Linked DNA regions of Astyanax mexicanus. The protein of the gene in region 1 purifies or fractionates together with the protein of each later gene. This does not show direct contact. Links are inferred from orthologs where the notes say so. Each region holds a gene or a part of one and is shown in the gene's direction. Other genes may lie near its edges.

Evidence for each region.
Region 2: the proteins of zinc transporter ZIP12 (region 1) and abhd12 purify together in Homo sapiens (co-immunoprecipitation; 3 studies listed by BioGRID and IntAct, counting the BioPlex papers as one, with this or other methods). This does not show direct contact. The link is inferred for Astyanax mexicanus from reciprocal best matches to the Homo sapiens genes SLC39A12 and ABHD12.

What each region holds. Positions count from the first base shown.
Region 1 is NC_064415.1:34,116,792-34,134,025, reverse strand, and holds the start of zinc transporter ZIP12, read left to right. Parts: upstream 1-8,999; 5' UTR 9,000-9,227; intron 9,228-11,141; exon of another isoform or gene 11,142-11,434; 5' UTR 11,435-11,496; coding exon 11,497-11,688; intron 11,689-17,234. Other genes in the region: mrc1a (macrophage mannose receptor 1), read left to right, coding at 1,162-1,397. UniProt on the Homo sapiens protein: Uniporter that promotes Zn(2+) import from the extracellular space to the cytoplasm across the cell membrane. The transport activity is temperature dependent. May play a role in neurulation and neurite extension.
Region 2 is NC_064421.1:30,144,122-30,160,748, forward strand, and holds the start of abhd12 (lysophosphatidylserine lipase ABHD12), read left to right. Parts: upstream 1-10,099; 5' UTR 10,100-10,272; intron 10,273-12,239; 5' UTR 12,240-12,241; coding exon 12,242-12,372; intron 12,373-16,627.

The sequences.
Region 1 (17,234 bases):
TTTTCCACAATTAATCACAGATCCTCACGTCACCGGAGAGATGACACTGCAGTTTTTTAAAACAGTAGGATTTATTTTTTAGCTAAATATATGCTTTATCCCACTGGGTGTTTGTGTCCAAAGTGCTGGAACTTTTAAAAATGAATGTTTAGAATATATGTGCGTGTTAGTCTGCAGGAGGCACCGGTAACCAAGGTAAGACAGATAAACACTTCAGAAATGAGTAGCGTTTTAATTCAAATTAACCGAATGAATCGTGAAATTGGCCCAGCACTAAGAGAAATTATAAATTTGCTTTCTGAAGGTGGTTAGAAACAAAACATTTAAAATGGTCAAGTGACCCCAGCAAGCCAAGCTTTTGGGTCTCCTGTAATAATTTATTATCACAAATTTTGTTGCTGACCATGGCATAGTATCCTTGTTTTCAAGGCAAGCTTTTGAGATGGCAGCAGCATGTGGACAAGCTTTGCCCTAGTGCCCTGGAGTTTAGGTTCTGAAATGATAGGGCCAGTGGTTATAGAACCTTATTAATGTATCACTGGTGTTGTGTGACAACAAACTTAAACTGCTTCTATTCACTCCACGATAGTCTGGCACGAAACCCATCGGTTGATTCCTTCTTGATTCTACTTTTTTGATGATGAGTGTACTGTATATGAGAGGGAAAGTTGTATTTATTTATTACAATACTGTTTTATTTGGAAAATCTCTATAGTGCAATGGGAATAGCACACAAAGAAATACAGTAACATCAATAATAATAATAATAATAATACACTGTAAACAAATTATGTTCTAGTTTTACTTAAATATATAGTGCAATAATTTTGCAAGCTTGTTTTTAAATGTAACAAACAATTATTTTTTTGGTAATTTATACTTAACATCTTAAAGTGACATTACTTTATAATAAGCTTGCAAAAATGTGGCACTATGTTTTAACGTAAAAAACATATAATTTCTGTTAATTTTTACTAAAAATCTTAAATTGACATTACTGAATAATAAGGTTGAATCTTTTTTTAATGAGAAAGTTTACAGGGCTCAAGAATCATTTTTTACATTGTATAAGGGAGGGATATTATATAGATATTTTTGTTCAGGAACTATACAGCAGTATAGTATCTTAACATTAATACATATTATATATTGCTTTTGCAGCGCCCATTGTGGGAGAAGCCCCTCATGGCTACGCCGGCATTGCTGTGGCAGTAGTCTTGGTGATAATTGCTGTGGCCGGATTGGCTGCCTTCCTGTTCTTTAAAAGGCCAACGCTGCCCGTGGTTGGAGAGTGTACATTTGACAACACTCTTTACTTTAACAACCCGGCACGAGCGAGCAACACTGTTGACACCAAGGGACTGGTTGCCAACATCGAACAAAATGAGCGTGCATAACACCCCTCTACCCACAAACACACACAGCATTAAACTGAATTAAAACACACAGGACTACACTGTGTTGCAGGGTAAACAAGACAGACACACACACTGTATTTCATATTAGCTGCTTTGATTAGAAACAATTGGTCTGTTACTGGAGATCTGTTTATTCTGAAGAAAGGGAAATCCATATAAAGCAAATGCTCAGAAATTGTATAGCAGTGTATTCATATCATGTAGCATCAAAAAGCTGTTTGTTGTTTCTGTTATTGTCTGTTTCATATGATTTATTGTAAATAAATGTCTACAAAAATACAAATAGAATGAAGTGGAAATGATTAAGCAAATGTTTTTTTTTTTTTTAGTTCTTTGAGAGTTGAGCAAAAAATTAATCCCTATCTGGACAGTATTAGTTTCTCAGGGAGACGTCTGTGAAAAATAATTTACACTTCTACTTCTACTCTGTGATAAAACTCTTGCATCCGGACTGCTATTGAAAAAACAGGAGGACCAGTTTGTTTTTTGGCTTTCTCAATCACAACATCATGTTCAGTAGCTCCTCCATTTCCACTCGCTGTTGTGTTTCGTGGTTCTCCGTTAAAATGTGCGCCCAAAGTGTAATTACGGTGGGTGGCAGTAGACAAATAGCTATTTTATTAAATGCAAGGTCACGAAACTCAGAGATGTGCATCCAGACGGGTCTAAAATTACCAGAGGAGCACGGAGTTCAGCGAAAAACAGTAGATAATTCAACCTGTACTTTTTTCAGAGGACATCTGAGAAAAACACGTAGATGGTCGTTCCGGATGGAAATAAAATCACAGAGGACCCCCCATAATTAAAAAAAAAATAGGACTTCAGCTATCTTACACTTGTAGGGCATGATTTGGGAAATCTTCTTTAAAAACATGAGCATGTAAAATACACTCCATGGCCCAAAAAAAAGTCTCCATCTTGATTTTACTAAGCACGTGATCTGGGGTTGCTGTAGTTGGTCAGGTCTGGGTTCAGCAACAGTACATGCTGAAAGAATGAGGTCAGCTGACCACCTGAATATACTGAAACACACAAAGAAAACTGAACCCCACACCATGACACCAGGCCTTCTGGATGTTTGATACGTGCCAACAAACAGTTGATCTTGGAGCTGACCACAATGCCTCAATTTTTTTTATAATGTACTGTACATGAGAGGGACAGTAAATGTATTTATTATAATGCTGCTATTTTATTCAGACTATCTCTATAGTGATCGAAATAGCAAACAAAGAAATACAATAACATCAATAAGAATAGACATAGAAATTGACACTTTTTATTTTTCATTATATATATATTTGTTGCTCGCTATCCCTTATTTTTCATGGTGTGAAGAAGGGGGCCATGTTTGTTTACTTTGTGTTAAATCTTTCGGTGCAGCAGCGAACCATTGATATAGGTTACACCCACGTTTACAGGATGTCGTGCTTACTAAAATAAGAGCAGAATTTTGCTTGAACCACAGTGTTTTGAACACAACACAAAAAATATATTTTTTTTGGTTTGAAAAGCTCCATTGAAAGTCCCACAGAAAAGGAGCTGTGTCTATAGTGGACAGGTCTAAGTTTAACACATTCAAACAATTGCCCATACATCCTCTATTTCCATTTTATATAGGATAAACCAACACCAGAACATCCTATCCCAGAGGAACAGGTTCCAATGTTTTTACTCCACAGAATGGTAAGAAAAGACATATAAACATTTGGGAGGATGTATTAAATGTAGCTCCTTCAAACACAGACCCAGCGGACATGGAATGCAGTGGACATAAGGTAGCTAGCTAGTGAGCTAGCTCCACAGAGCACACCTGTGTTTTTGTGTGTTTGTGTGAAAGCTGGTTAGCTATGCTGTAAATAAGATTAAATACCCTGTTATTTAGCATAGCTAGCAACTTTATACCATATTTTTCGCACTATAAGGCGCACTTAAAGTTCTTTATTTTCCCAAAAATAATCAGTGCTTATTTTAATCCAGTGCGCCTTATGTATGAATTTTACCAGTCAGGTTGTAAGCAGCAGTAAAGACACTCTGCTGAAGTACAGCATAATGCAGCACTGGGGCTGGAGTAGCATTAGTATTAGCCGCCAACCGCTATTTCCCCATTCCCGGGTATTATTGGCCTGTAGTCCGCTCCAAACACCGGTTAGCACTGCTTGAGCAGCATAAGCATAGTCACTAACCGCGCTCACTATTTCACTGTTTAGAGGTGAGTATTATCGGCCAGTGGCCCTGCTAGCCCTGCTAGCGGCTAGTTAGTCGCTAATCCTAATGTTCCAGCCTTAGTGCTGGAGAAATTCATGAATCTACACTTAATGTAAGTAAACGGAAGTGCTTTACTCACCCAAATAAACAGATGTAGATTAACATCCAGTGCTCGTTTGACTTTAAAAGAAAGTCTTTTTATTGCAGTTTTGTTTACTTAGCTTAGCATTACTTAACTTAGTTAGCTAAGCTAAGTTATGTGTGTGTAATATGTATTACACACACATTAGAACACAAACACTGAGTGGCATTAATGCGTCTCATTGTCTCCAGATCTGTCAGCAATGACTAGCCGTAACTTTCCAGTATCCACAAAGCCAAATATGAACAGCACCTGTTCAGTGTTGTAGAAAAGAAAATGAAAGGTGGGCTACTCCCACCTCTCGTCCGGGGTACAACTCCCCTGCGTGTTCGTTTGATAGAGAGAGTCAGACAGGTGGAGTGAAGCTGAAAGCAAACCAAGTATTTATTACAAAGTACTGAATATTCAGGAGAACCAATACATATAAGACAGTGTTACAGCCGACTCAGTAAGAGTTCTGAACCTCCTTCTGATCTGACTCCACGTTTATACCCCAAAATGACGTGCGACCTGCTGATGAGGCGTTGTTAGAATGTTAGAATCATTTCATGTTAGTAGGCACATTCTCACGTGTTAGAGTTCACAGGTCTGACCGAACCACTAGTGTTTGGCCTTGAATCGTCATCAAGATGGCGCCGAGCATGGCTGCCGTGTTGCGAGCTCCCACTTATTTTAGCAGTTTTTCTTTGTTTTTGTGTTTGCTTGTTACTCTTTTTGCACTGAATGTTACTGGCATCGTCACATACGACCGACAAACACTCCTGGGAATCAGATCGTCGATCACTCACCGCAAACCGGACTTTGAGTTCCACAACGCTGATCCTTTGTTGCCTAACATCGGAGAGGCTCCATTCACCTGGGTCGCCCGGCCACGCACGCGACGCAGACGCCGGAAAAGAGGCAAGCGAGCCGGTGTGCTCGTCAGGCTGAGACGCCGCGCTCACCGTCCGCCTCTTCCCACCTTGTTGCTGGCTAATGTGCAGTCCTTGGACAACAAGCTGTGCGAGCTCCACGCACGGATCGCTTTCCAGCGGGAGATACGTGACTGCAGCGTGATCTGCCTCACAGAGACCTGGCTATCCGTGGACATACCCGACCACGCCATAGAACCCGCGGGGTTCTCTCTGCACCGCGCCGACAGATCCAAAGAGCTCTCTGGGAAAAGTAAGGGAGGTGGTGTATGTTTCCTGATCAACAATGCTTGGTGTGATCGGAGGAATGTACATTTCATCGAGTCTTTCTGCTCGCCGGAGCTGGAATATCTGATCATCTCCTGCCGGCCGGTGTGGCTACCTCGTGAGATTACAGGACTGTGTTTAGCGGCAGTGTACATACACCCGCGCGCGGACTCGGAATTCGCACTCGGGAAGCTACACGAGACCATCAACAAGCAGATGACCGCGCGCCCGGAGGCTGCACTCATTGTTGCTGGGGACTTTAACCGGACAAACTTTAAAACTTTTTGTCCAGCACTGTTTCAGCACATTACATGCTTCACGCGGAAAACCCAGACGCTTGATCACTGCTACTCTAACATCCGAGGAGCCTACAAAGCCCTCCCCCGACCCCCGTTCGGCAAATCAGATCACTCCTCCATCCTGCTTCTGCCCACCTACAGGCAGAGGCTGAAACGAGAACCGCCCACCACCAAGGAGATACGCCGCTGGTCTGACCAATCGGAAGCTATGCTTCAGGACTGTTTTGATCACGTGGACTGGGAGATGTTCCGTGATTCGTCAAGCAGCATCGACGAGTACGCAGACACAGTCACCGCCTTCATTCGCAAGTGCGTGGATGACGTAATGCCCCTCAGATCAGTGCGCGTCTTCCCCAATCAGAAGCCCTGGCTGAACGGTGACGTCCGCTCCGCTCTCAGCGCACGCAGCGCCGCTTTCAGATCTGGAAATACGGAGGAGTACAAACGAGCCAGCTACGCTCTCTGTAGGACCATAAAAGCGGCCAAACGTGGGTACAGAGAGAAAGTGGAAGCACAGTTCAACACAGCCAACACCCAGAGCTTGTGGCAGGGTCTGAACATTATCACTGACTACAAGAGAAGCTCTCACACTCTGACCAGCACCAACGCTGAGCTGCCAGAGGAGCTGAACTGCTTCTACACTCGATTCGAGGCAGATCACGCTGCGCTCCCAGAGTGCGCCCCGCCCACCGCTGCGCTCCCAGAGTGCGCCCCGCCCACCGCTGCGCTCCCAGAGTGTGCCCCGCCCACCGCTGCGCTCCCAGAGTGCGCCCCGCCCACCGCTGATCCCATCCCACCCTCCGTCTCTGAAGCTGACGTGCGCAGAGCTTTTCAGCGGATAAATCCACGCAAGTCAGCTGGTCCGGATGGCATTCCCGGGAGAGTGCTTAAAGCCTGCTATAGAGAACTGGCAGCAGTCTACACGGACATTTATAATACATCACTCTCTCTCTCTGTTGTGCCAGCTTGCTTTAAACTGGCCACCATTGTGCCAGTTCCAAAGACTGCCCACACCACCTGTCTGAATGACTGGCGACCTGTTGCCCTAACCTCCATCATAAGCAAATGCTTTGAGAGGCTGGTTAGGGATATCATCTGTTCCTCACTGCCTGCCACCCTGGACCCACTGCAGTTTGCATACAGGCAGAACAGATCCACTGACGATGCGATCGCCCTGACCCTGCACACTGCCCTCTCTCACCTGGACAAGAAGGACACGTATGTGAGAATGCTGTTTGTGGACTACAGTTCAGCATTCAACACCATCGTTCCCTCGAGGCTCGACGTCAAGCTCCGGGATCTGGGTCTGAACAGCACACTGTGCAGCTGGATCCTGAACTTCCTGTCAGACCGACAGCAGGTGGTGAGGATGGGCAACATCACATCCTCCTCACTGACCCTCAACATCGGAGCGCCCCAGGGCTGTGTGCTCAGCCCGCTCCTGTACTCCCTGTACACCCACGACTGCACAGCCAGACACAGCTCCAATGTCATCATCAAATTTGCTGACGACACAACAATTGTTGGCCTGATCTCAAACAACGACGAATCGGCCTACAGAGAGGAGGTTAACATCCTGGAAAACTGGTGCCAGGAGAATAACCTCTCTCTAAACGTCAGCAAGACCAAGGAGCTGATCGTGGACTTCAGGAAGCAGGAGAAAGCATACTCGTCGATCTCCATCAACGGGACTGCGGTGGAGAGGGTCAGCAGCTTCAAGTTTCTGGGTGTTCACATCAGCGAGGATCTGACATGGACAGAACACACCACACGGGTGGTGAAGAAGGCACAACAACGCCTGTACTTCCTCAGACGGCTGAGGAGGTTTGGTCTGAACCCCATCATCCTCAGGACTTTCTACACCTGCACTGTGGAAAGCATTCTGACGGGCAGCATCACCACCTGGTATGGGAACTGTACTGCTCTGGAGCGGAAATCCCTGCAGAGGGTTGTGCGCACAGCGCAGTACATCACTGGGGTTGAGCTCCCAAACCTTTTGGATTTTTACACCAACCGCTGCCTGAGGAAATCCAAAAAGATCATGAAGGACCCGTTCCATCCAAGCCATTCCCTGTTCTCACAGCTGCCGAGTGGAAGGAGGCTCAGAAGCTTGAAGACCAGAACCAGCCGGTTCCGAGACAGCTTCTTCCCCCAAGCAACCAGGCTGTGGAATAGCCAGTAGAACGGTGTTCTGCCCAACCCACCCCACTGACACCCATACAAACTCTGCACCCTGCACTTTACTTTACACTGCATCTATCAGACTTTCCCATATTATACAGCATTCTGCCCCCTGCACTCCCCACTCAACTCATTCCTTACCTGCACTTACTCATAGCTATACTGTCACATACTGACTACTTCCACACTATCCGCATATCTACATCTGTGCATATCTGTTCTGTGCAATATTTGTCTATAGTGTAAGTTATCATGTCTATTGTAATTAAGTGTATTGTAAATAGTGTTTATACTGTAAGTTATCTGTATGTCCTATTTTTATATATTTTATTACTCTCTTGTAAATATTATTCTTTGCGCATTGGTGGGAATCTGCACCCAAGTTTTTCACTCACATGTACACCTGTACTCTGTGACGTGACAATAAAAATCTTGAATCTTGAATCTTGAATCTTGATGTGTCCAGCAGGACAAAAGTGGTATTGTTTTAAGAACTAGACAGTGTGATATTGTTTCAGTAATTAGACAGTGCAGCCCTCCCTTTGTGCGCGCTATCACCCCTCTTGGGAGATAAAAAAACAGCGCACACACAGAGTGAAAGGTCGCATTGTTCGTACCCGAGTCTCTTTTGTATCAATTCAGTTCGTACAAAGTGCTCTTGGCTGATGATTGATTGTCAGTCAGAAACATGCAGTAAATTAAATGCTTCAGGCATAAGCTGTATGTGCCCAACAATGGGCTCTATATGCCATACGTTACTGTGTTAGCAGCGCGTGGTTAGTCCGCCATATAATAGATCCTATGTGTTAATATACATCTGATGCATCATGTGGGTTAATTTCTCATAATAAGGGTAGTGTTAATCACATGCTTGATCAAACAGTGTTTTACTATGTGTGTAAAGGATATAATGTGATTATTGATTAATCTTTTATATAAATGTGTGTAAAATCCACTGTGAGTAATAAAAATGATCAGATACAATGTGAGTATTGGTTATGCATATTGAATACAAGGTTTCACACAATGATTATGTAAATACAGATACTAAGATAAGTAATCATAATTGAAAGATATTTGTCAATCAACCCAAATTATAATTAACTGAAAGATATTTGTCAATCAACCCAAAGTATAATAAACAGTTACTCTTTATCAGTTATGGGATTAGCATAGACCCGGTGGACTCCCGTCTTAAAATCGCTCTACAATGTTGCAATAATAAAACTAGTCTAAAGGCAACTAACTAGTCCGTCTGAATCTTAGCTAATCACCTGCTTAACTGATAATGAATTAATAAGGGAATATATAATGTAGCCCATTACATAGCTTCTGATGATATTTGTCCAACAACTTTTGAGCCGTTCTTAAACACTTTACAGTCCAAATATTTATTGGCCTAATTGTATAAGTTTTTATTTGATTGTACAGTGTTAATTGCATTTCACAAACATTTCACAAACTGTTTTGACCACAAGAGGTGAAGGGTTCACCTACTGACAGTACCTCACAACACACACACACACACACACACACAAACTTACACCCTGTCTGTGCCTCCTACCGCCCCCTTGATCCCTGCATAGTCATTGCTAAAATGAGGCTGATATTGCCATAGTAACCACTGACCTATGAGGCTGAAGCAGTGAGTACTAATCCTCTGAAAGTGGCACAAGCATATTTGCTCATAAGAGGGTTTTTCACTCCTGTTCTGGAATTTCTTATTTTTTCCCTGTTTCTCTTCCTCCTTAACCTGAAAGAAGGAAAACATTACTGAGGACTCCAGAGGAAGAAAAGGAAGGTACGTAACTTTAGAAGTGGACACACTTTTTACTCAAAAGTTCATGTTTGTTGTTCTGAAAGTTCTGGAAGCTCTTTGCTGATTTTGAACACTTGCAACTTTTGGTTGTGGAGTTGAGAAGATAATTAGTTAATTATTAGATAATAAGACTTTAAAGTTTCTTTTATTTCAGCTCTGTAAACTTTTTGGCTATTGAAAAGATTTGTTTTTGTTTTGGAGGTGGGCAGTTGGTTCACTCCAGTGGTCAGAGTTTGTTCTGTTGGGACTGTTGTGGTCGGCCACTACTGAGCGGTGACTGAGGCACATAGGAGGAAGGGGGGTTAACCCTTTGAGGCCTTCAGGCTTATTTCTCTGTTTGTAGTGCTAATTTGAGCTGCTACGGTCGCTATGCTGTAGCTACTGGCTAATATACTGTAGACTATGTGGTGACTAGCATGAAAATAATTACTTATAGTGTGGTTATAACAATTAGTCTTTTCCTTTAACAAGAATGCAAACAAACACTGTGAGTTTATGTGAATGCAGCCAAAACTCTACTACTCTCCTACTCTACTATGATGAGTCATGCTAAAACAACATTTGAAGTGCAAAAAATTACCTGCAAAAGTGTTCTCTTAAAGAAACACTAGGTTTCTATGTTCTGTAGTAACTCATAACAAAATCAGGATGTATCATCAGATATAAAGGAAACCTGCTGAGCTTAAGCACAGGCAGCTCTTGTCATAAGAGCTTCAGACAGTATTTTCTTAATAGAACTGTGTAGTACGTCACAGAAATCTGTGTGGGATTTAGCCTCCGAATCTGCACAATGCCATCCCCTCAGTCCCATTTTCACACCCAGTGTTGCCAGGAATAGAACACAACAGTACACAAACAGTGTGCTGCAGCCATGGTAAAGGGCAAGCTGGTTATTTTTCTGCTGAACAGGTAATCACTAAGTTTCAGTAAGGTCACTGACCATAGATGGGAAATTTACCACCACCACTAGCATAATAGAGACAGGCACTTTAGATGTTGAAACCTGTACATATCTATACTATCTACAGATTAAGAGTTAATCTGGCAACCTGCATGAGCTTTAAATCTGGATCTATACAGAAATTGGAGCCCTGTAGTCATTTTACATTTTACTCGTTTATTACTGTTTGTTCCTTTAAAGCAGGGGTCGGCACTTAAGTTATATTTTCCAAGCCATTACATTGTGGGCCACAAAAAAAATGGGATATGGGAAATGAAGTGTTATGGGATAGAGTGCTACAGCCTAGTAGCTCTCTAGCCCAGAGGGTTATTGAACCAAATTGCAGAACAGTTTAATTTAAAGCAGGTAAACCCAAGAAGAAATGAAAAATTAATAAATAAACATGCCGCTCCTCACGTGGGATCGAACCCGTGTCATCAGGGGCGGGGCACAGTCCAATACAATACTGCTGCCCTGGCTAGTGAATTGGTACACGGCTGGGGAAAAAACTCCTTTATAATGGGATAGGGAGCCACGAGTGTGCAAGAGAGGTAGGGGAAAAATGTAAACAAAAGCTCACAAGAGAAGCATTTTATATATATTTTTTTATTCATTATAGTTCAAACAACCTCACGGGCCAGATGTTTTATGTCTATTGCCAACCCCTGCTTTAAAGAGTACATTATTTGTAAGGGTAACTGTCTGTTCTTAGTGTTTAAGGCTGTAGGAGTAGGTACGGTTGAGTTGATTTCTTAACAAGTGCAAGTTCATTGTGTTATTTAAGCTCAAATTATTTGATTGAATAAAAAGCAACCGGTTTCCACAAATTATTTTAGTTCTTGTATGTAAGACAAATTTAATATAAAAAGATATTTAATTTTACTACACTCATATTATTTAATTTAATTACACTTTCTTGCTTTTCTTGTGTTTGTATGTGTTTTGTTCTGAGGCAGAGTGGGAGTCAGTCTAAAACTTTTGTCTATGTGTGTGTGTGTGTGAAGCTCATTAGTGCTGGAGGGGCCTCTCTCTGTCGTCCTCCTGCTGTTCCTGAGGCCATTAGAAAACCCCTTAATTACAATTCATTCAATTCCTCTCTCTCTCTCTCTCTCTCTCTCTCTTTCTTTCTTTCTCTGCTCTTCACGTGCTATATCTTCTCCCTGTTTCTCACTCTTTCTAAGTCCCCTTCAGTCCACTCTCTGTCTGTGACTCTTACAGCCTGCACACTTTCTCTCTAATTTCTGTGCAGATCAGTGTTTGCATCAGTGTGTGTGTGAGAGTGTGTGAGTGCCTGCATGTGTGTATGCTGCAATGCGTGGGCTGTGCAGGCCGTGGACTCTGGGGCTGCTGGGGCTTCTCAGTGCTCTGGGTAGCTGGTTGCCCTCAGTTACAGGAGGTCAGGAGGCCTTGAGACGGGCAGATGTTGGTCTACTGGTCAGCGAGATCTTCCATGTGCTCCAGTGTCCAGAACGCATCGGTGGAACCAAGGAACTCTGTGATAAGGTGAGTGTTAGTAAAACAGGGAACTGGTCCATTTAGAAACTTCACTATTAAAGTTAATCTCTCACCATTAAGACTCTAAACACAGCACACACATGGTTTGACTTTTTGATAATTCAGCATAGTTCAGATCACTCCATGCCCAGTGTAAGGAGCAGGTGCTATGGGCAGTGCTATCTGTGAGCACATGGTCAACAACTGAAACACGAGGGTGTGTATAGCTTGAAAATGCTCACAGTTTCAATATACAGTAATGACGACATCTACTGATATCCTTTTAGATATAAAGAGAACATAACATGAAGCCCAATGTCCCAAAATGCATGTGAACTTAAAGGTACTAAACTATGTTGTAAAGGCACAGCAGTATGTTTATTTACATGCTCAGGATATAAGACACACGTTACAAGTATAGTCATACTACAGCCAGACATTATACAGATTTTTTTAAGGGCTGTACGATTTGGATAAATAAAAATAGTACCTTAATATATTTTTTATGATACCGATATACAGCTCTGGAAAAAATTAAGAGATCACTTCACTTTCTAAATCAGTTTCATTGATTTTGCTATTTGTAGATATATGTTTGAGTAAAATGAATGTTGTTTTTTATTCTATAAACTACAGACAACATTTCTCCCAAATTCTAAATAAAAATATTGTCATTTACAGCAAATGTGAAATGACCAAAATAACAAAAAAGATGCAGTGCTTTCAGACATCAAATAATACAAAGAAAACAAGTTCATATAGTTTTATAAGTTAAGAAATCAATATTGTAATCACAATTTTCATGCATTCTGATATATTTACCTCCACCAGTCTTACACACTGCTTTTGGATAACTTTATGCCACTCCTGCACCGTAAGCCCGGATAAGTTGAATTAACTTAAAACATTTGAGGAAACCGGTTGCCTTAAAAAAGTTAATTAATGGGTAATGAAAACTTAAGTTAGCATAACTTAGAACATGAAGTTATTACAACTAAAGGGGAAGTTAATTTAACTTTTTTTTATTTTTGTTATATTGTTAGACCAGATAAGTTGAGTTTACTTCACTTTTTTAAGGCAGCCGGTTTGCTCAGTTTCTTTTAAGTAATGGGGAGTGAAAACTTGAGTTAGCATAAATTAAACCATCAAGTTATTACAACTAAAGGGGAACTTGATTTATTTCTAAGGTAGCCCAGGGGGAATCACTACACACTGATGGTGAGTGTCAGAAACTGTTGGACACACCCAGTATGCAAATAGATTGTGACAGAAGCCAATAGAAAAGAAGATGCCAATGACAACAGACTAAACTCAGTTATTATAAGTTGGTTCAACTCAAAGATCTCAGTTTGAATGTTTATGTGCCCAAAAAAATTCCACTAACTTAAAATAGTTGAGTATTGTTTAGAAATATCCAATTTTATGTAAAACAGAATTTATTTGAGTTCAAACAGTGTATGGGTTTACAGTGTGGTGCAAAAAAATCAAGCAGTTCAGTTTGGTTTGATGGCTTGTGATCATCCATCTTTCTCTTGATTATATTCCAGGGCTTTATAATTTGGTAAAATCAAAGTAACTCATCATTTTTAAGTGGTCTATTATTTTTTGCCAGAGATGTATATCTCAACATTTTTTCATTCCATGAGGTAATAACCAAAAAGACACTTTTGACACGAAGCTACATGCCATGATTTTATACAAGCACTTTTATTATTCAGTGCCATATTCTGTATATTATAATAGCTTAGCATTTTACATCATCAACAACTGAAAGGCAATTAAAATTACATGAATAAACAAGTTCAAGTAGCTCAAAAACAAGGGACACAAAAATATAGTGTGCTTTTGGAAAAAGTGCAGGTAGAGTGCTTGAGAATAAGTAAATAAAAAGAACAGTTTGAGTTTTCTAAAAATCTTGGTTGAAACAGTGTCAGGCCTATTCTCATACCCCTGGTCAGTCCAGGTTAGAGTGGGCGTATCTGCTCTAAAGATCAGTGTTTAGTTCAGTAGTGGCACTTCACACTGCTGCTGTTTATTAGCGATATGCGCTAACACAACAAACAAATGTTTTATTTTTTTTTAAAGAGGAAGATAGATGGCCACAATCCATCAAACCAAGGTGAACTGCTTAAATTTTTGCAGCAGGAGTGGCATAATGTTATCCAAAAGCAGTGTGTAAGACTGCTGGAGGAGAACATGCCAAGATGCACAAAAACTGTGATTAAAAAAAACAGATTTATTCCACCAAATAAAAAAAAAATTTCTGTCCTCTTAAAACTTTCTTTGCATTATTTGAGGTCTGAAAGCGCTGCATATTTTTTGTTATTTTAGCCATTTCTAATAAATGCTCTAAATGAAAGAATTTGTTTATGTAATTCGGGAGAAATATTGACCGTAGTTTATAGAATAAAACAACAATGTTCATTTTACTCAAACATAAACCTATAAATAGCAAAATCAGAGAAACTGATTCAGAAACTGAAATGGTCTCTTATTTTTTATCCAGAGCTGTATATATTTAACCTATAGCAGTTTAGCTGTGCTCACCTACTTCAAAAAGGCACAGTAACACAAACAATTAAAAAATATTTAATTAAAAATGTGTTGTGATTATTAATTCTATTATTTATACACAGTATTTCACACAAGTTTCACTTGCCTATATGCTTTGTTTAGACTATGTTTGTTAATTATGTGTTTATCTACTAATTAACAGACCCATTTTTAACATCAATCAACATAATCAGCATACTTTAAAACACTAAATAAGAAGGATCTGGGTGGCTTTGTGATATAAACAAAAGCAGGCTTCTGAATTCCTCACTGCAGGGTCACAGAGTGAATGGCACCTTTAGGGCTGAAGGATTTTTACTTGTAGTATTATAAGTGGAACTCACAGAACACACAAGAAGCTCTGTGTACAGCTATGTTCAACTTTCAGTCAAGTGTTTGTGTGCGTGTGTGATTAGATGTACAAAGCCTGACCACTATGTGCAAAGAGCTGATTAGTGCCATGCTTAAATAACAGAGGCCAAGAGGCCACTTCTTTTCCACCTTTGCAGACCTGTGGTGTTCCAGAAGGTTCTACATTAGGGCCCATTCTATTCTTAATGTGTATTTTTTTATGGTGTAGTTAATATTCCTCCCCTTAAAACATTAAAAACATTATTGGACATTGTGTGCCACTATTTAATAACAATGTAATACCTTAATTATGCAATTACACTCTTTTAAAGCATTTTCAATAATTAAGAATATTTGTACATTGGAATATAACATTTTAAATTATACCTCAGTTAGTTTCGACACTGCAATGTGATTGGTTGAGAAGAGTTTTATGAGTGACATTATTAGCCAGTAATGCACTGTAACTTTGGCCACACACAGGTAACCTAGTAATGATGCAGAGCTTACAAACCAAATACAAACCAAATGCAATGTAATTATACACCACTGAAAGGCGCTAGATCCCATAGACACAGTGCAAAAACGTCATGTCTCCAATTGGCGGCGCAAACAAAGATGCGGTCCCACAAATAAGCCCAATGATTCGAAAATACTCATTATTACACACATTTTCAGCAACTAATATCAGGTTAAGAGATGTTATTATTAAAATAAAAGCTTAAAGGTACATTCTGTAGGAACTGAGAGCGAGTGTGTGAAATGGCTACAGCAGTCCAATTTCAAAACACCACAAAGAGTAGTCTGACCCGCCCACCCCTCCCCAGCTGTGAAACTATCTAGGGTTGCCAAATTCAGCAGGCTGAAGCTACACAATCTTTACAATGTTTAGACTAGTAGGAGAGACAGAAAACTTAGGGAGTATGAGGGAGAGGAGAAATACAGCAATTCTAAACTCTTCTATCACCCGTATTTAGAGTTATACTGACTGTATTTCAAACGAGGGAGCGCCACAGTCGCCGGGAGGGAGAGCCGCGGTTGGCTGTGCCCCAAGTGAGGGAGCGTCGCGGTCAGAGGGGCTCTGATCCGCGTGAGAGACAGCTCTAGCCCTTAGTAAGCACATCTAGTTGTGGTGATAAAGTACCTGACTTTATTAGCTAGCCAGTTATCTTACCTGTTCAGAAGAAAAGTAGCAGCTCTGGGTCGGTCTTGTCGTCTTTTTGAGCTCTAACTCTCCAACTTTCAAACTCACTGCCAATATTCACTCTTGTTATATTCCTACTTTGGTCACTGAGCTTTTTTGAGACATACTGAGGCTTTTTAAGCTGTGTAGCAGCTGTGGTTTAACTGAATAAGCTCCTCTAGCTAGCTCCTTTGCTGCAGCATGGATCGCTAGTGTGGGTGCTGGCAACCTGGGGGGTGGAGTTAGTGTTGGGGAATGAGCAGCAGGCAGAGTCAGAGGACAAAACAAACACTAAATCTGGGATGGAGTGAAAACTTAAAATAGGAACGTACTGCTGAAGCTCGTGCTGCCAGTGCTTTCACTCAGCATGTTTCTTTAATATCTGATGATACATCCTGAATACTTTATCATTTACTACTGAAAATTTGTTACATATTGGTCCTTTAAGTGTATATATTTTTCAGTTAATATAGGGTATTTTAAGCTGAATGTAAAACAGGGGACCCTTGTAATTCTGCAGGTCTTGCCTCTAGGGGCGCTGAAGTATACAAAACTGTAATTTTTAATAAATAATTTTCTTTCAAAGTTAAACGAGCACTGGACTTAAATCTACACAGATTTCTCTCCTGAAAACTGTTTATTTGGGTGAGTGAAGTTCTTACGTTTATTTACAGTAAGCTAAGATTTCGAGAGTTTTGACTGAAATGGCAGAAAGTAGATGCTACCAGACTAAACTAGCTACAATGCAGCGCTTACAACAGCGCAGCTACAAACAGAGCAGCAATGGAACTATTTTAACTTATAGAGTGTTTATAACCAAACACATCATATTTTCTTGTCCTCTTTAACTCAAAATATTTTAATAAACAGCAACAATATGGTATAATCACAATAATACACTCATCGTTCGTGCTATAACATGTAATATTGGCACTGCTGTGCTGCAGTCGTATATTACACGTTATAGCACTACCTTTCGTGAATTATTGTTTAAATATTCTACATTAATAAAACATAGAGAAAACACTGTTTAAGACAAAGCCAGCATACCAGTTAATTCACGTTTTTGTGCTTTTATTTCTAACAATAACAAAAAATGTGAAATTGAGGTAAGCAAAAATGACTGAGGTCATGTTTATATACTGTATTACTTTATTTAGTTGAGTAGTTTTTGCCATAATATGGATTAGAACATTACTTAAATAGAGCTGTTCACTGTATACCAACTCTACCGCTTCACAACTTTACAACTGATGCTCTCAAACACGTTAAGAGGCAAGAAATTCAAGTCATTCACTCTTGCAAGTTCAGCACAGCTGTTAACTGAGAGCTATTCCAGGTAAATACCTCATGAAGCTGACTGAGAAAATTCAGCCAAGATGTGTCATTTAAGCAAGAAATGCTACTTTGAAGAATCTAAAAAATTAAATATATTCTGATTTGTTTAACACTTTTTTCTTTTACTAAA
Region 2 (16,627 bases), on another chromosome or scaffold:
CAGAGGACATACTGGAGGACCACTCAACCTCCACACGGGACGGGGACAGCACTGTGTGTGTGTGAGTCTGTGTGAACATTAGTGTGTGTAAGCAGGGGTCAGGGTGTTGAAGAGTGTGTGAGTATTTGTGTGTGTGTGTGTGTGTGTGGGTAAAAGAGAGAGAGAGAGCTGGGGGTGGAGATGAGATCATCTCATCAGCAGGGACCAGGCCTTGTTGCTACAGCAACAGCCAGGGGCCATCACTCTGGAAACGGGCCTTGCAGTGACTCCGCCCACACACCACTCCGTCCACCAATAGCATCATGGCCCGAAGAAGTGGACGCTTGACACGTTTCAGCAGCCTCGAGCACTGTCTCTCGCCCCCTGTATTAGCTAATCCCTAAATCATTCCGCTTCATTATTATTTGTTTGTTTAACACAAAGCCTTTTAACAGCGCGTGGAGGTGAAGGCCAATCGGCTGAGCGGCGACAACTGACCAAGCGTTCGACAAGCGGCTAGTACATTCACTTCGTATAACGCCATACTGAACATATTTCAAACTAGGGCTTCGTTTAAGCAAACATTTCAAGCGCCCTACGATTTAATGTGATTCACATGCTCATTCTGACAAACTGTAATACACTACAGGAAAGATAGGGGGAGCTCTACAACTCACTATACACATATTGATCTGATCAACATGCTCATTCTAACAGACTGAAATACACAACAGGAAGGATAGGGGGAGCTCTAATACTCTAAACACATGTTGATCTGATCCACATACTCATTCTGACAGACTGTAATACACTACAGGAAGGATAGGGGAGCTCTTTAATACACTATACAGATTTAATCTGACTCACATACTTATTCTGACAGACTGTAATACACAACAGGAAGAATAGGGGGAGCTCTATAATACACTATACACATGTTGATCTGATCCTTATACTCATTCTGACAGACTGTAATACACAACAGAAAGGATAGGGGGAGCTCTACAATACTTGCTAAAGATCACGTACACAAGCCTAAAGGCTATTGGAAGAAAGTTTTATGGACGAATGAGACCAAAAAAGAACATTTTGGATTAAATGAACATCATTATATTTGGAAAAAGGAAAACACTGCATTCCAACGTAAGAACTTTGTTGGCATATCATTTTTTTGGGCCTGTTTTGCTGCATCTGGGCCAGGATTATACAACAATGAATTCTAATTTATCTCTTTTGAACTGAATCTCAAGAGAAGGTGGGTCAGGCAGCAAGTCATTCCACCACAGACCGTTTAAAGAAGAATACAGCTAAACCTTAATGTTTTGGAATAGGGCCAAGTCAAAGTCCTGACCCTAATCCACTAGAACTGTTGTGGAAGGACCTGAAACAAGAAGTTAATGTGAGGAAACCCAACACCATCCCAGAGCTAAAGCTGTTTTGTACGGAGGAATGGGCTAAATTTCCCCCAAGCCGGTGTGCAGGACTGATCAATGTTTAGCAGCAGTTATTGCTGCAATATTATATAAATATTAATTATTATTACTCATTTGTTTAATTGAATTCTCTTTATCTACTTTTAGGACTGATGATTTATATTTATGCAGAAATATAGAAAATTAAAACAAGATTCATGAACTACAATTGAGCTCTGATTGGTCCAGCAGACTAAGGTGCTGCTACTATAATCAGAAAATTGATTGTTTGCCATCAGTAGCCGGTAGTGCTGTAACAATACATCGATCTGTATTGATACATCGATACAACTATGAATGATACGATGCATCGATTTGACGTAAAAACATCGAGGCATGTGTTTTTCACGTGCGTTTAACCGGTTACTGCAGAAGCAAAAAATCACTTACTATCACAGCATCCACAATAAAGCACTGAACCGCAGATTAAATATCCAAAAAGTCCTTTATTCGCCTGCTCACTTCTCCTTGCTTGCTTTAGTTTCAGCTAGGGTTGCAACGGTATGAGATTTTCACGGTATGATAACCGTCTCAGAAAATACCACGGTATCACGGTTATCACGGTATCACAGTTTGTTACATATATTATTAAACTGACCCTTAAAGAAATTACAACAAAGGTTTTTGTTCAATTAACTATTTATTGTAGAAACCTGGAACAATTATATAGATAATGTCTCCTTAAAAAAAATAAACTGTACACCATCAGGTGAAGGAAACCAGGTTTTTCCACTACTCTTAAGGTCATATATATATACACACACACACAAACACACGTGTCACAAATTACATGTCCTCTAAGAAGTAAAGATCCTGTGTTTAAACTATTCAGTACAATTATTTAAGTTTAAATTATTTAATATCTGATAAACTGAGCCTGGGTCAGTGTCTGATCAACAACTGTTGTAAACGTCCGTTTTACTGCCAAGTTGGTATATAACCAGATAGAGGGGATTTATTTCTGAGTCTGGTTTTAACACATGAAAAACAGGCACGTCAGAATTTGAAAATTAACGCATGTAAATGAATGGCGTCTTTCACATCCAGTCCGGCGAGCACCTTTACACGGACACGTGAATCCGTCGTAGCACGCACTTCACGCCTGTACCTGCGTGCCCAAATTTCGGATAACTCAGCGCTTTTGCGGGCGCTTACCGCATGGGTTGTGCACGACTACAAAGAGATTTTATTTATGTTCAGATTAAAATTATAAACTAAACACATACTTTGCGCTGCACGGCGGGGTGGTGTTCTTGGAGATGGGAGAACAGGTTTGACGTATGTCCACCTTTAGCTGTGACTTTACGGCCACATTGATTATAAATCGGATAACCATCCTCCGGTGCGTTCGGCGGGTCTCTGAAATATTCCCACACTGCTGATTTTAGTTTAGCCTTTTTGTAGGCGGACGGAGATTTGTTTAGTCTGATGCACTTTCTGCTGTTCTCACCGCTGTGTGCTGAGCAGCTGAAGCGGAGCAGAGTTGCGCATGCGCGGGTGAGTTTCTCCGCTGGCTTGCGTTTTACCGGTAATAAGCAAACACACACGGTATGATAACCGTGCATTTTAATACCATGGTATACCGTGAAACCGGTTACCGCTGCAACCCTAGTTTCAGCGCAGCCGCAACGTAATATTCTCAAGCTCCTAGCGACCACACATGCAATGTTTTTACTTAAAGTTGTACGTGAATCCAAAGCTAAGGGTGTCTTCTAGATTCTGTGGTTTTTATTGGTCCACAAACAACTACTTTTCTTGAGTGATCGTCTTTTGAACCAATGGCGTGAGCGCTGGATCACGTGGGTGTCCAATCTAATCAGGTCACAGCCTTTTTCCAGAAGGCTTCTCCTGGAGAGATTTTGAACACTTTGGAGACGCCTGGTGGACACCTAATATAATGCAGTGTAACTTTGCTTTGTGATATAAATTACAACTACTGAATCAGGAAATGTAGAGAATGATTGACTATTCCTCACCAACATCCATACACACATTGTAAACTCCAAATATAACAGGTGCTTTTTTTTTTTTTTACATTTTCTTCTGCATTTGATGTTCTCAAATGGAACCTTAATAATGGAAATTAAAGTCTTGAAGTGAATTATTGTTTTGCCCCAACTGTCTATTTCAGTTTAAGCCCTGAATGGTCATTGTGCTATATGTAAAACTTAAGATATTCATTTTTAAATCTTAGTAGTGCAAATCGCATGAAAATGAGCATAAAATTGGATCTGCAGTAAGAGGTTTAAACATTGCATTGTTCCGCTCTGTGTTATTCTCCGCCTATTGTCCGTTACTCTCCGCTGCTGTTTGCCGAGTACATGTTTGAGTTAAGAGTTACACAAACCAGGAGCCCTTAGCAAGTCGAATCGTATCGTAGTATATCGTATCATATCGTATCGTATAGTATCGTATCGTATCGTGACATAATTTGAGGTAGCGTACAATATCATATCGTTGACTAAAATAATCGTATCGTATCATATCGTAATGAATCTTGTGATTTACACCCCTAGTAGCCGGACTCCAAGAGAGAGCGCAACTGGCCATGCTCTCTGTCTGGGTTGGTAGATGGTGCTCTTTCCCGTCATTGCTCACCAAGTAATATCAGTCAACAAGAGGTGTCTATTAGCCAATGTATCATACCCAAGTTGCTGCGCTGTCCTCTGCGCGTGTTAGATTAGACTTAAATTCACATTTTAAATCACACAACTCAACTCAACTCCACATCTCAGCAGCACTTCTACTCCATGAGTCTATGTGCGCCTGTACGCTTCACAGGCCTCGAGAGAAGCTCAAGCTCAAACTCCGCTACTTCTTTAAGCAGCTTGTTGCGATAGCGTACACATGCTAATCTCTTAGCATAGCGAGCTGCTCCTTTTTTTTCCCTCTTCTCCGTTCTGTGGGGTTTTGTTTTCACTGATGTCTCCCGGAGCCAAAGAACTCGGCAATGAGACGCTGTCAGCCGCACATTCCCACAAACTGACCGCTGTAATTACTGGAATTAGGGAGCTATTTCATCATTAGCATCACTCTGAATGAAGAGCGAGATGGAGAGCGGGAGGGAGAGAGATGACTGATCGGATCCGAAGATCCGCGAGCCGTCCCCCTCCCCCCCTCGCCGCACTTTTCCCTGTTTAAATCGGCTCTTAATGCTATAATACGGTTCCAGTCGGCTATTGTGAGCGCTGATGGTTCGGGGGGGACGAGTTAAAAAGAAGAGGAAAAAAAAAAGTCACCGCCGACGTAAATGCACTTTTGTTAGCATCGGCGTGCAAATGCCAGCGCTCGCCTTTTATTTCGCTAATGTCTTATTTGCGGCGTTGATTACAGGGTGTGTATACGAATAAATGAATGTGGAAAACAAAGAGCGGGCAATCAGCACTTCACGGAGCGGCGAAGCGCTCGGGACAGCTTAATGAGGGAGCTCAAAACACACGCTCGCGTACAACACACAGGCCTTTTGAGATGACACTCACATGCGTGACACATTAGGCAGGGCTTGCACTTTGTGCCGAGACGTGAAGCATAATCTTAATATGTAAATTAGCGACGAATGTTTCCGGGACAAAAGGGAAGATCGGCGCTGGAGGGAAACATCTCAGCGCGCCACAATGCCAGCTGTCAGCGCCACAGAGGAGGAGATGGATTTGGTATTGAACATGGATGATAAGCAAAGTCCCTCTCTGTCTTTCTCTTATGCGTGTGACATGTGTAGCCCCCTCGAGGGCTTTGATTAAGTGCCATATCAGAGGAGAAACTCAGAGAACAGCAGAGTTTAAAACAGGGAGATTGGTTGGTTGGTTGGTTTGTTGGTTGGCTGAGGGCGGGTTGGGGGTGGGTGCGACCACCCCATTACACCTAATGACTCTGAGACGAGGCGATTCAATAAAGCACCACCTAAATACCATAATTACTCTTTATGGAGTCCGGGCCCTCTCGTCCGTGCTGGCCATCTACACGTCGCCATTCACCGGCTCCGCTGCGTAATTACACGGTTGATTATATATACATGTTTATTTGGTCTGTGGAAAAAAAATCTACAATAACTGTCACAATATGATGATGATGATTATGATAATATTCATCTTTGCTCAGAACCTGAATGTTTCATTGTGCCATAGTTCTCTGTGGGCTATATATCAATTAGCCGAGCTGATTTTGAGACCCTGTCAGCTAAATAAACCCACTTCTTGACAAGGAAGTTCAACCACATGCAAATGTAAACATATTTACATTTTATCATGATCCAAATTCAGCTACAATCTACATCATGTGACTGTTGCATAGATTTAGCCTAATGCTAAACTGCTGTGTTGTTTTGACATAAATAAATGCTGGGTTTGGAATGATGGAGTCGTGTAGCACACATAGCAACAACCCAGCCGATGGGTTAGCTCTCATTAGAGCTTAGATCAGGTCCATCCCTACCTGAGCCCATGCAGGTTATGTCCGCACCATAAGCTGCCATTATGAGCCTGTTTTAAACCCGGCATCGTTTTGGTAAGTAGAGCATTAAAACTCAGTTTATACACAGACAAGGACAGAAAACGGGAAACACCTGTGACCGGGTAACAAGTGGGCGGACCTACAAATGAACAGGTAAGCACACAAAACACAAGACACAGGATACACACAGGGCACGTGCAGAGGGTAAATAAACACAAGGACAGACCAAAGAGACAAAACACTGGACGAAAACATGGCAGTAATGTAGAAGTGTGGAGGAGCTAGCATGTGCGCACTGCTTATAACATTTTTACAGTGTGAGAAAGTGTTAGGAGTAGACACTTATTATGATTTTTTTAATAATCAGAAACCACTTATATGGGAATTGCCAATTTGCCAATCAGAAAACTTCAGTGGTAAATACTGAAATAATCTTTTTAGTGGTTTTATGAAATATGTATAGGCAGGACAGACACTCGCAGATACCAATCAAACAATTTATTAACAAAGGGATTAGACTTTGCAGGGGTAGATAGAGACAGGCAGGGTCAGTATCAAAATGGCAGCAATAGTAAACAACATACCAGAGTGAGGAGGCAAAAGGGTCATACACAAGGAATCCAACAGGTAAAAAAGACTAGGAGAAAATATTAGTCAAAATACAAAAACAAGCAAGAGAGTGGTAAAAAACAAACAAACAAAAAAAAACACACAAAGGAAAACAAAACAAAAGTAGTGGTGGAGGAGCTATCAAGCTAGATTCAATACCTGGCAAGGAGGAACTGAAACAGAGGGGTATTTATACTAACAGGACCAGGTGTGGGTCAATAGAAGCTCAAAGGGCTGAACACCGTAATGATTTAATTGATTTAATATTGTTTTTAATTTATCATAATATTTTCACACATTTGGAAAAAGAAATAGCAAAACGGTATTTGCATTTTCATTTTAGTGTTTTATTTTTGACAGGATTTACCTACCATATATAACGACATAAAAAAACAAGAAACCAGAAATCACAAGGTGATGAAAAAAAAAGTTAAAGAGGAGAAGACAAAAATAAGTAAGTAAAAGTCAGTTTCTTTTTTGTTTGTTTGCTAATTATGTTATTAAATGTTCGTAACTAGAATATAAAACTGTTCTAAAAGAACTTATAAAACACTGATGTTTCAATATTATTAACTACTTTAAGGTAAATATTAATCAATACTATTATAAATAATAAATCCCTTAAAAAATATATACTAAGTCGTACATGCATTATTGTTTTGCCGTTTGCTTCCGTTTGCTTCACAAATATACATATATATATATATATATATATATATTTTTTTTTTTATACATATATTTTGGGCTAGTTAGTTTATATGTACTGCTGTGTGTAAGTGCCCGTAAAAGCAGTGTATTTTACTAAGAAGAGTAATAATGAGTGTCCACAAACTTTTGGACATACACTTTACCAAGAGATGTTGTTTAGTGTATAAAATGTGTACAAAATGACCATGCTTTATATGTGCTGGCTGGGTGGAGATATGCTTCCCTCTAGTGTCAGACAGTGGCACAGCAACGCAACACAAACAGAAACAACGTTAATACACCATAAAATATATATATACGTTGAGATGTATATGCTTATATTAAGCTAAATAAAACTACCAAATTTTCGTTGTGCTTATGTTGAGTTTTAAATCACTTAAAACAATGTGAAATTTCTAAGTAAGACTTAGTTAAGTTTATTATTCCTAAAATAAGCAAAACAATCTTACACTTACACAATGCTTAGTAAAAAAAATATATATATATATATATATATATATATATATATATATATATATATATATATATATATATATATATATAAATTAGATAATATTACTTTCTAAGATTTAGGGTTTTTTTAAGTGTAGAATTGTTCAAATGTGAATCATCTAATTTATCTATGTGTGTGTGTTTGCTTTTTAGTGCATCCTTGATGATAAATTGACAGAAATACAGCAAAAGCTGGTTTGTAAAACCTTAACCATTAATATGCCACAATCCATCTAACGCTAAGGTGATAGTATATATCAGGGGTGGGTCACAGGGGCCAGAGTCCAGCATAGTCTACTGATATCCCAGACCTACCAAACCTGGCAATAAACAGGTGGGTGGATTTGAAGTGTGTTTGAGCAGGTTTGATGTAAATATTAGTGTAAATGTTGGAGTTTCTTATTAGCCTGCAAATATACCCTGCCTTTCAGAACAATAAAACAAGTACTCTTCATTTTCACTTTTGTTTGTCTGTTTGGGGTTTTCATTGAGGGTTTATTAATCCCTGGAGCATTCATTAAAAGGCATACACCTAAAGAGGTATAAACCCAGTCCTGGTTGCTCCAGGAGAGTAAGGAGAGAGTCTCTCACTCAATCCTACAGAGAGTTACAGTTTCTGTAAAGCATAGATTTGAATTGTTTCCTCTCCTACCTTCTTAATCCACCTGTTAACCTGTTAAAAGTTGTGTTTAACAGTAGACGTTTGACAGTTTAAGCTGTAAAATGTGCTGTGATAGTCTAATTTCCTCCTAAGATATGACAATTTGAGGCCAGAAGTCCCAAAGAGCAGCCCTGGCCTAGCTCTCTCTGTGTGGGTTTCAAGTTTGTCAGAGTTTTACTTTTCACCCATTTTAAAATGCTGAGGTCAGAAATAAACAAATGGCCCTCTTGTTTTCTTTCCTTTGACACAGAAAATCCTATCCATCTACTAGTCCAGGGTTTAAGATGATTTAGGTTTAAAGAAGTGGGGAAAAGCAATAAAAAAACTTTAACAATAGTTAGTTAAATATAGAATATATACAGTACCTGTTTCAATTCTGGACACACCTCTTCTTTTGTGTTTTCTTTCTGTTTATGGTTTTTAACATTGTACATTTTATATTAAAGACTATATAAAAGCTCTACAGGAACACATATGTGGAAAAAGAAATGTGTTAAACCAGAATATGTTTTATATTTGAGAATCTTCTTAGTAGCACATTTATCCTTAAGGACAGATCTGTACACTCTTGTTATTTTAATCTTAGTGTCTTCATGAGGAAGAGTCATCTGGAAAAAGTTTTATCAGAGCCTAGAAAGAGTTCCTGAGGTGCAGAAAAATAGTTGCTGCTTTTTCTAAATGCTGTGAAGCTCCATCTCATCCCACATCGCCATTTCATTTGATCAAGTTTAGATCAGGGGATTGGTCAGATGGAGGTCAATCACTTCTACTGTTTACTACATGATTCCATATGTGTCCCATAATTGTTTTTTTGTATTTAGTATTAATCTACAATGTGGAAAATGAAAAGAAAGTTTCACAGTTCGGTTATGTTGGTGAGTTTTGACCATTCTTTGGTAGGACAGCATTTGTTCTTTGGTCGTTGTCTTGCTGCATGGCCCACGTTTTATTGAGATTCAGCTCACAAACATGCTTTTCTTTTCTTTCAGAATTTGCTGGAACAATTCGAAAAGGTTTACATTCTTTTGTCACTCACAAATCCTAATTCTTAATTTACTTTTAGGACCTGTATAAAATATTTTTGTATAAAAAGTTTTAGGTCAGTTTATGCAGAAATTTTAAAAGATCTATCTATCTATATACATCTATCTGTCTATAAAGAGTACAAATATTTCTGTCATATTGTTTTATGTTAAGTTAATGAATCATATGGATTGTTTGAATGCCTTCTTATTACTTAAGTATTCTATAAGCGCAATGTAACTTTTTGTGTTTATAAAATTTCCATAAAATCAGAAACATCTCACGATCTTATAAAAGGAATAAAAGTAGAAAATGCTCTGATATTGAAACTGCATGGATATGAGCTAGAATAACAGCTATGGAAAACTGTTTGTTTACTATTAGGAGAAAAAATGGCCTATACATTATAAACAATGAATAGGAATTTATATTATACCAAAACTATTTAATTTTTTTTTTTTACATGGCCTAAATTATATTTAAATGCTAGTATATAATTTAATGCCTTCTTATTACTTGAATATTCTATGACCAGAATGTAATTTTTATAATATTTAAAAAAAATTATGAAATTCGGTTTTGAAAGAAATATGTGACATGTACAAATGTACAGATATTTATTATTATATTCAATCTTTTCATATCGTTTAATCAGAACCACGTGGCTCTGTGACGCAGCGTTGTTTTGGTCACGTGAAAGGAAACTGAAAAACGCGGCTGTGAAGGAGAGAAGCTTCAGGGCTGAGTGTGGAGCGGAGTTATGGAGGAAACCCGGAGAAACTGTCAGATTAAACCCGGGGTCTGCAGCTCTGTTTCCCGCAGAGAGACCTCCTGAACACCGCCGAGACTCTCCCACAGCTCCCGCAGACTCACAGCGGGGTAAGAGCCCGCAGACCCACAGCTAAAGCTAACCTCAAATAAAAGTCCCCCTAAAGTTTACTACTAAATTAGCTAAATAATAAATCTCTTCATCCAGCACATTCGATTTACTGTTTTATACTGTTCGCATGTTAGTAAAAAATATTTTATTAAATGAAAGTTTTAATATCTGCATGTTTAACGGGGCTCAGATGAAAGCTATGCTAACTAGCTAATGCAACTACTTAATGCTAACTAACTTACTGTACTGTTTAGAGTCACATTGCCTTTAGGATATGATGGAAAGGTCATATTTACTCAGTAATTTGAATTATAAACTGGTTGTATTTGAGTTATTTGACAGTAGCAGATTAACACTGCTGGTTACTTTAAATTTTAATCTAACTCTTATCCACCTACACACACTAAATAGACCAGATAAGCCACTACTAATCTTCTAAAGTAGCTATCAAGGTAGCAAAATTGAATATTAGACAAAATATGTTACCCTGGTTTCATTTATTCTTCCCGTAATTTAATAAATCATTCTCGTAATTTAATAAATCAGTCCTTCAATTGAAAAAATCATTCCCTCAATTTACTAAATAATTCCCTCATTTAATCATAATTAAGTTTATTGTTTCTACCTTGATACTTCGGTAAGTACTGATGATCACATTCTGTTGTGTTTTATTGCAGTGATGTCAATACAGCTCTGGAAAAATAATAATAGACCACTTAAAAATCATAAGTTTATTTGATTTTACCAAATTGAAAAGCTCTTAAATATAATCAAGAGGAAGATGGATGATCACAAGCCATCAAACCAAACCAGGAGTGGCATTATGTTATCCAAAAGTAAGACTGGGGGTGTGTAAGGTGGAGAAGAACATGCCAAGATGCATGAAAACTGTGGTTAAAAAACAGGGTTATTCTACCAAATATTAATTTCTGAACTCCTAAAACTTTATGAATATGAACTTGTTTTTTGCATTATTTTGAGTTTGAAAGCTCTGCATTCTTTTTGCTAAAATGACCATTTCTCATTTTCTGCAAATAAATGCTCTAAATGACAGTATTTTTATTTGGAATTTGGGAGACATGTTGTCCGTAGTTTATAGAATAAAACAACACTTTTCATTTTACTCAAATATATACCTATAAATAGCAAAATCAAAGAAACTGATTCAGAAACTGAAGTGGTCTCTTAATTTATTTTTCAGAGCTGTGTGAGTATAAAATATAACACCTCTTCTCATTTCTCATTCAGTGTGTTTTTTTTCTTTTTATGATTTTTTACATTGTAAATGTAATACTAAAGACTATATTAAAGCTATAACGTTAAATGAACACACGCGGATGCATATTGTTTAGTACACAAAAAAAAGTGTTCTTCATCTTCATCCTAAACTGCACTGAAACCTCCTCATGAAACTAATCCCCCTAAACTGGAATTACCGGTTTGCGAAAGGATAAATAAACAGGCTGTGAATTGCAGTCTGTCATCAAAGCGCGTTACAACTTCTTTAACTCGTTTCCTGGTGTTTAGTTCCACCTTAAAAAGCACTGCGTGAGGTTTTTAAGGTGGAGTGGAACTATCGCACGCATGTGTGAACTTTGCAACACAAACGGTCTCGCTCTGATTGGCCACTCGACCCGAACTGTGAGAGAAACGGCGTCTCTGATTGGCTGTCGTGGTACCGGGGGGAACCTGTAGCGATATCTCTCCGCTCATTGGTTCCCACCTCAACGCTGGTTTGCTGATTGGCTGAGGGGGAACCTGGGTAAAGGTTGTTGTGATCAGCTGCTCTCTGCGGATCTCTCACTTCAGCAAACAATGTAGAGGAGAGATCTCAGAGATCACAGCTCCCGGTCCGACCGTCCACCCCCCGCCTGATCAGCTACCGACCCTCCGGCCGCCCCGCGCTCACCGCCCCCGGAACCTCGCCTCGCTCCCCCGCTGATCCTCTGCTCCTGTCCCGCTGCAGGGATGAGAAAACGGAACCCGTCCCCCGGCGCAGAGCAGCAGCACGACGCCGCCGACAGGGCGCTGCTGGACGGCAAGCAGAGCTCCGGAGGAGACGGGCAGTGGGACAAAACCATGGGCAGGAAACTCAGGAGGTCAGTAAACAGCACAGCTACTAATTACCCTAATGTCGCTAAGAGCACTGCTGCTATTACCTGGTTTTATTATAGTAACAATAGTACCTGAAGAAAATAACCAAGGTAATAACATATGTTATTATACAGTATAATGCCACTAATGCCTAGTGTTTTTAAATCGTGTCATTACAGTGGCACTAGTATGTGTTTTATGTTTTAATTAACAGTTTTATACATTAGTATTGTGTATTGTGACTATTGTGTTATCATTGTAGTCACACTCATCAGTCCTGTCACAATAGCTATTTTGCTTCAGCTGATATATTGTTATGTTGTCCCAGAGTAATGGAATAAATAAACAATATTATTGTAATTTTAAGACCATTAATGTCACAAATATAATAATATTTGAAAACACAATGACATAATAAGGCACATATGATTACACCTTTTTAAATGGCAGCAAACTTTTAATCTTATCAACATTCATTAATCATCAGGATTGAAATACAATTACAGGCCTGAATAATTGATATTGAAAAATATACCTGTAATAAATGATATTACACCATATTTTGTACAGTAAGTCTATAATGTAATTATTGTGACCGGCTACTCACACTAGTATGTTAGATTAGATTAGATTACAATTAAACTTTACTGTCATTGTGCAGAGTAAAGGTGGGTACAGGTACAGAAATGCAGTATGTAGTAGCAAAAGTACAAGATTACAGAGTAATCGTCATTGCAAATAATTGTCTTATTACAGTGACACCTGTAGCCTTTTTTATTACTGGTAATGGTGTTCTAATATAGTGCCATTAATTACCAATGTCTTTAATCATATTATTTACTTGTAAGTGGATTTATTAGTGGTGGTGTTTTATAGGTGTCTGATTTAATTGATCATGTTATTTTCTAGGACCTGGTTTATTTAAATTTGTTTTATGGTGTTATCGTATATTGGCATTAATATCTGGTATAATTGTTCATTTTTTTCCTAGTTTCTGGTTTCATCAATGGTATAATTTATAGTGACAATACCTGATTTTATTAATAATGTTATTTTTCAATTGTCCTTAGTAGGGTTGGGTGATATAGCCATAACATAATATCACAAATATTTTTATTTATTTATTTATTTTGCGAAAATGAAATTATTGGCGATATGCTAGCATTGTGGCCTGTTGCAAGCATTGGCTAAAAGCGCTGTATTTGGGGATGCTGAGGGAAAATAGCTGGTGGGCTATTCCACAAAAGTTTGTATCATGTTTCACTCTTTCATTAAACCCCATAAAGTCAATTTTAAAACGGATTTCTCCTTTAATGGTGCTTTTACTCTGGTGCTGGCAGTGAAGTTGTGTAAGACACTTTTGAAATGCTGAGTTATGCTTGTGTATATGACCGTTCAGTTGAAAAACAGCACTTGAGGCACAGCTGTGGGCTGAATTGTGTGTATTTGTTGTTTGTTTCTATATAAGTTTCCTCTTTCTGCAGAGAATGTGTGTAGGCTGTAAGCGAGGGAAGGAACGCTGAGTCTGTAGGGACGTCTGAGCAGCAGTGCTGTCTGTGCAGGGGGTTGAGTGAGGCCGAGCCAGCAGTTTTTAGACCTGGTCTTGTGTTCAGACAGGATCAGCCAGTTTCGGGCAGGTTTAGTGATTTGCTGAAGCTTTTGCTGCTCTCATTCAGAATGAATGATGAGATCTGTGAGGTCAAAGGTCAGTGTTGTGATCCTGTTTATCCTGTTTGATGAAATTCCAGTCAGAAATGAAGTGATAATGCAGAATTTGTAAATTCCGGGCTTCTGTAGTTTCTGTGATGATTATTGGCTTCACCTCAAAATGGTACTGCAATGGGGAGAATAGCTATCATTCACTCTCTGAGCTGCTGCTACTGCACTACGGAACTTTGGTGAAGCTGCACAAGATCTCTCTCCAGAATTGTGAAATACTGCGTGACCTATAATCATATTAGTGTGAAATATTGTAATATTACTCTACCTCTTCTGTCTACAGTCCACATGCTTCTCTCACTTCAAATGCTGCTTATGTATATCTTTTATGTACACATATGCTTGTGTGCAGCTGTCCACAAGGGGGTGCTTAAAGCGTAATATGTATTTATGTAGTGAAGGAAAAGCGGTTAGCAGCTAATGCTAATGCTGCTGCACCCAACCTTAATGCTGGGGAAACATCACTGAAAACTGATTGACTTTACTGCTCCTTAATACCTGACTAGTAGAATTCTTATATAAGGGGCACCGGATTATAAGGCGCACTGTCGATTTTGGGGAAAATTTAAAGATTTTAAGTGCACCTTATAGTGTGAAAAATGTGGTAAGCATCTGCTCTGTTTTTAGACTTGGTGCCGGACTTTATTTTGACAGATGATGAGTCAGAATTGGAAGAGTGTTTGAACCTGACTGAACCGAAACCAGGCTTTAGAGTTTAGATCACAGTAACATTCACAGTAATTACACAGATCAGCAGCACCTTCTTATTACCGCTATCATCACTTCACTCTAATACAGGTTACTGTGTGTTCCTGTTTGTGTGTATGTGTGTGTGTTCTGTAGGAGTGAAGCTGTGGGTGAGCGGTGATGTAATATTAGTACTGCCTGTTCTTTCTTTTTTTTATTTCAGAGAGAGAGAGAGATGATGGAGGGAGAGAGAAGATGGAGAGAGAGAGCGAGAGATGAGGGAGTGAGAGGATGTATATAAAGAAAGAGATCAATATAGACAGAGATTGAAGAAAGACAGATATGATAAATTACAGATAATGAAAGATTAATTTTATTAAAATGCTAAATATGTAGGTTTAAGGTAATAACTTTTTATTAATTAGAAATAATAAAGTCTTAATAAGATACTCAATACAGATTTTGCGATTTTCCGTATATTACAATACAGTTCTCTACCATACTTTACAGCACCTGTGTTGCTGAAGAGAATAAAATACTCCTAAATAAGCAAGTACCAGTAATGATGGATTCATTGGTGTTTCAGTTATACAGAATTGAACAACCAATATTCCAATATTCTTCACTGCATGTTTATTAACCCTATTCATTAGATTATAGCGCCACCACACGGTGTAATGAAGCAGGAACATTAGTAAGTCAGATTGGATGGAGAATCCTACGGAGTTTAGAGTGCTCATGCTTCAATAAATTGTTGATATTTGCTGCCACGTATTAATAATTGTATCACAAATGAAAATCGTACAATAAATCGCAATATCAATATTTTGTCCCACCCCTACTGCAGAGCAGAGATGGTTAAGGTTAAGTATTGCTCAAAGGCTGAACAGCGGCAGCTTGTTGATCCCCATAACCCTGCCATCAATAACCCAATGCTCTAACCACTGAGCCACCACTGCACGGAGAGATATAGAGTGTCACAAAGAGGAGAGATATACAAAAAGAGAGAGGGAGGAAGAGAGAGAGGGAGAGAGAGAAAGATGCAGATCTGTTAGCAGAAGAAGAGATCATACGTCTTCAGTAGATGGAGAGAGAGAAAGCGAGGGATAGGGAAACGTTCAGCTACAGCAGGCGTGCGAGAGCGAGACTCTAGAGACTTTCTCTGGTGTGAGAGTGAGTGTAGTAGCAGCACGGCTGCCGGAGCTCAGCTTGCAGACGCTGCAGACTCAGCAGAATCTCTGCACCCCGTCTGCTCCTCTCAGCCCGACCCACACTTCCTGCTCAGATTACAGCCATAGTTAATTTATCACTGTGCGCTTCCCCACCACAACCAAATATTAGCTTAGCACTCGCCCCGTTCAGGTGATGCTGCAGGACCAGGGTTGCCAGAGTCACCAGTGTAACGTACACTACAGTGTGAGTGATGTGTTCAGTCAGAAAAGGAGCCCAGCTGCTGATATTTGTTACTCGTGGAGCCCAGCTCAACAATGGTTACTAAAATTTAACCATAATTAATCACTTTAATTCAATTTAATCTGTCTTCATTAGGATGAAATCATCTAAAAAACGTACAGCACTGGGAAAAAAATGAGACCACTTAACATTGAGTTTTTTTATTTAACCAAATTGAAAACCTCTGGAATATAATCAAGAGGAAAAAGGATTATCACAAGCCATCAAACCAAGCTGAACTGCTTGAATTTTTGCCCCAGGAGTGATAAAGTTATCCAAAAGCAGTGTGTAAGACTGGTGGAGGAGAACATGCCAAGATGCATGAAAACTGTGATTAAAAACCAGGGTTATTCCACCAAATATTGATTTCTGAACTCTTAAATCTTTAAGAATAAGCACTTG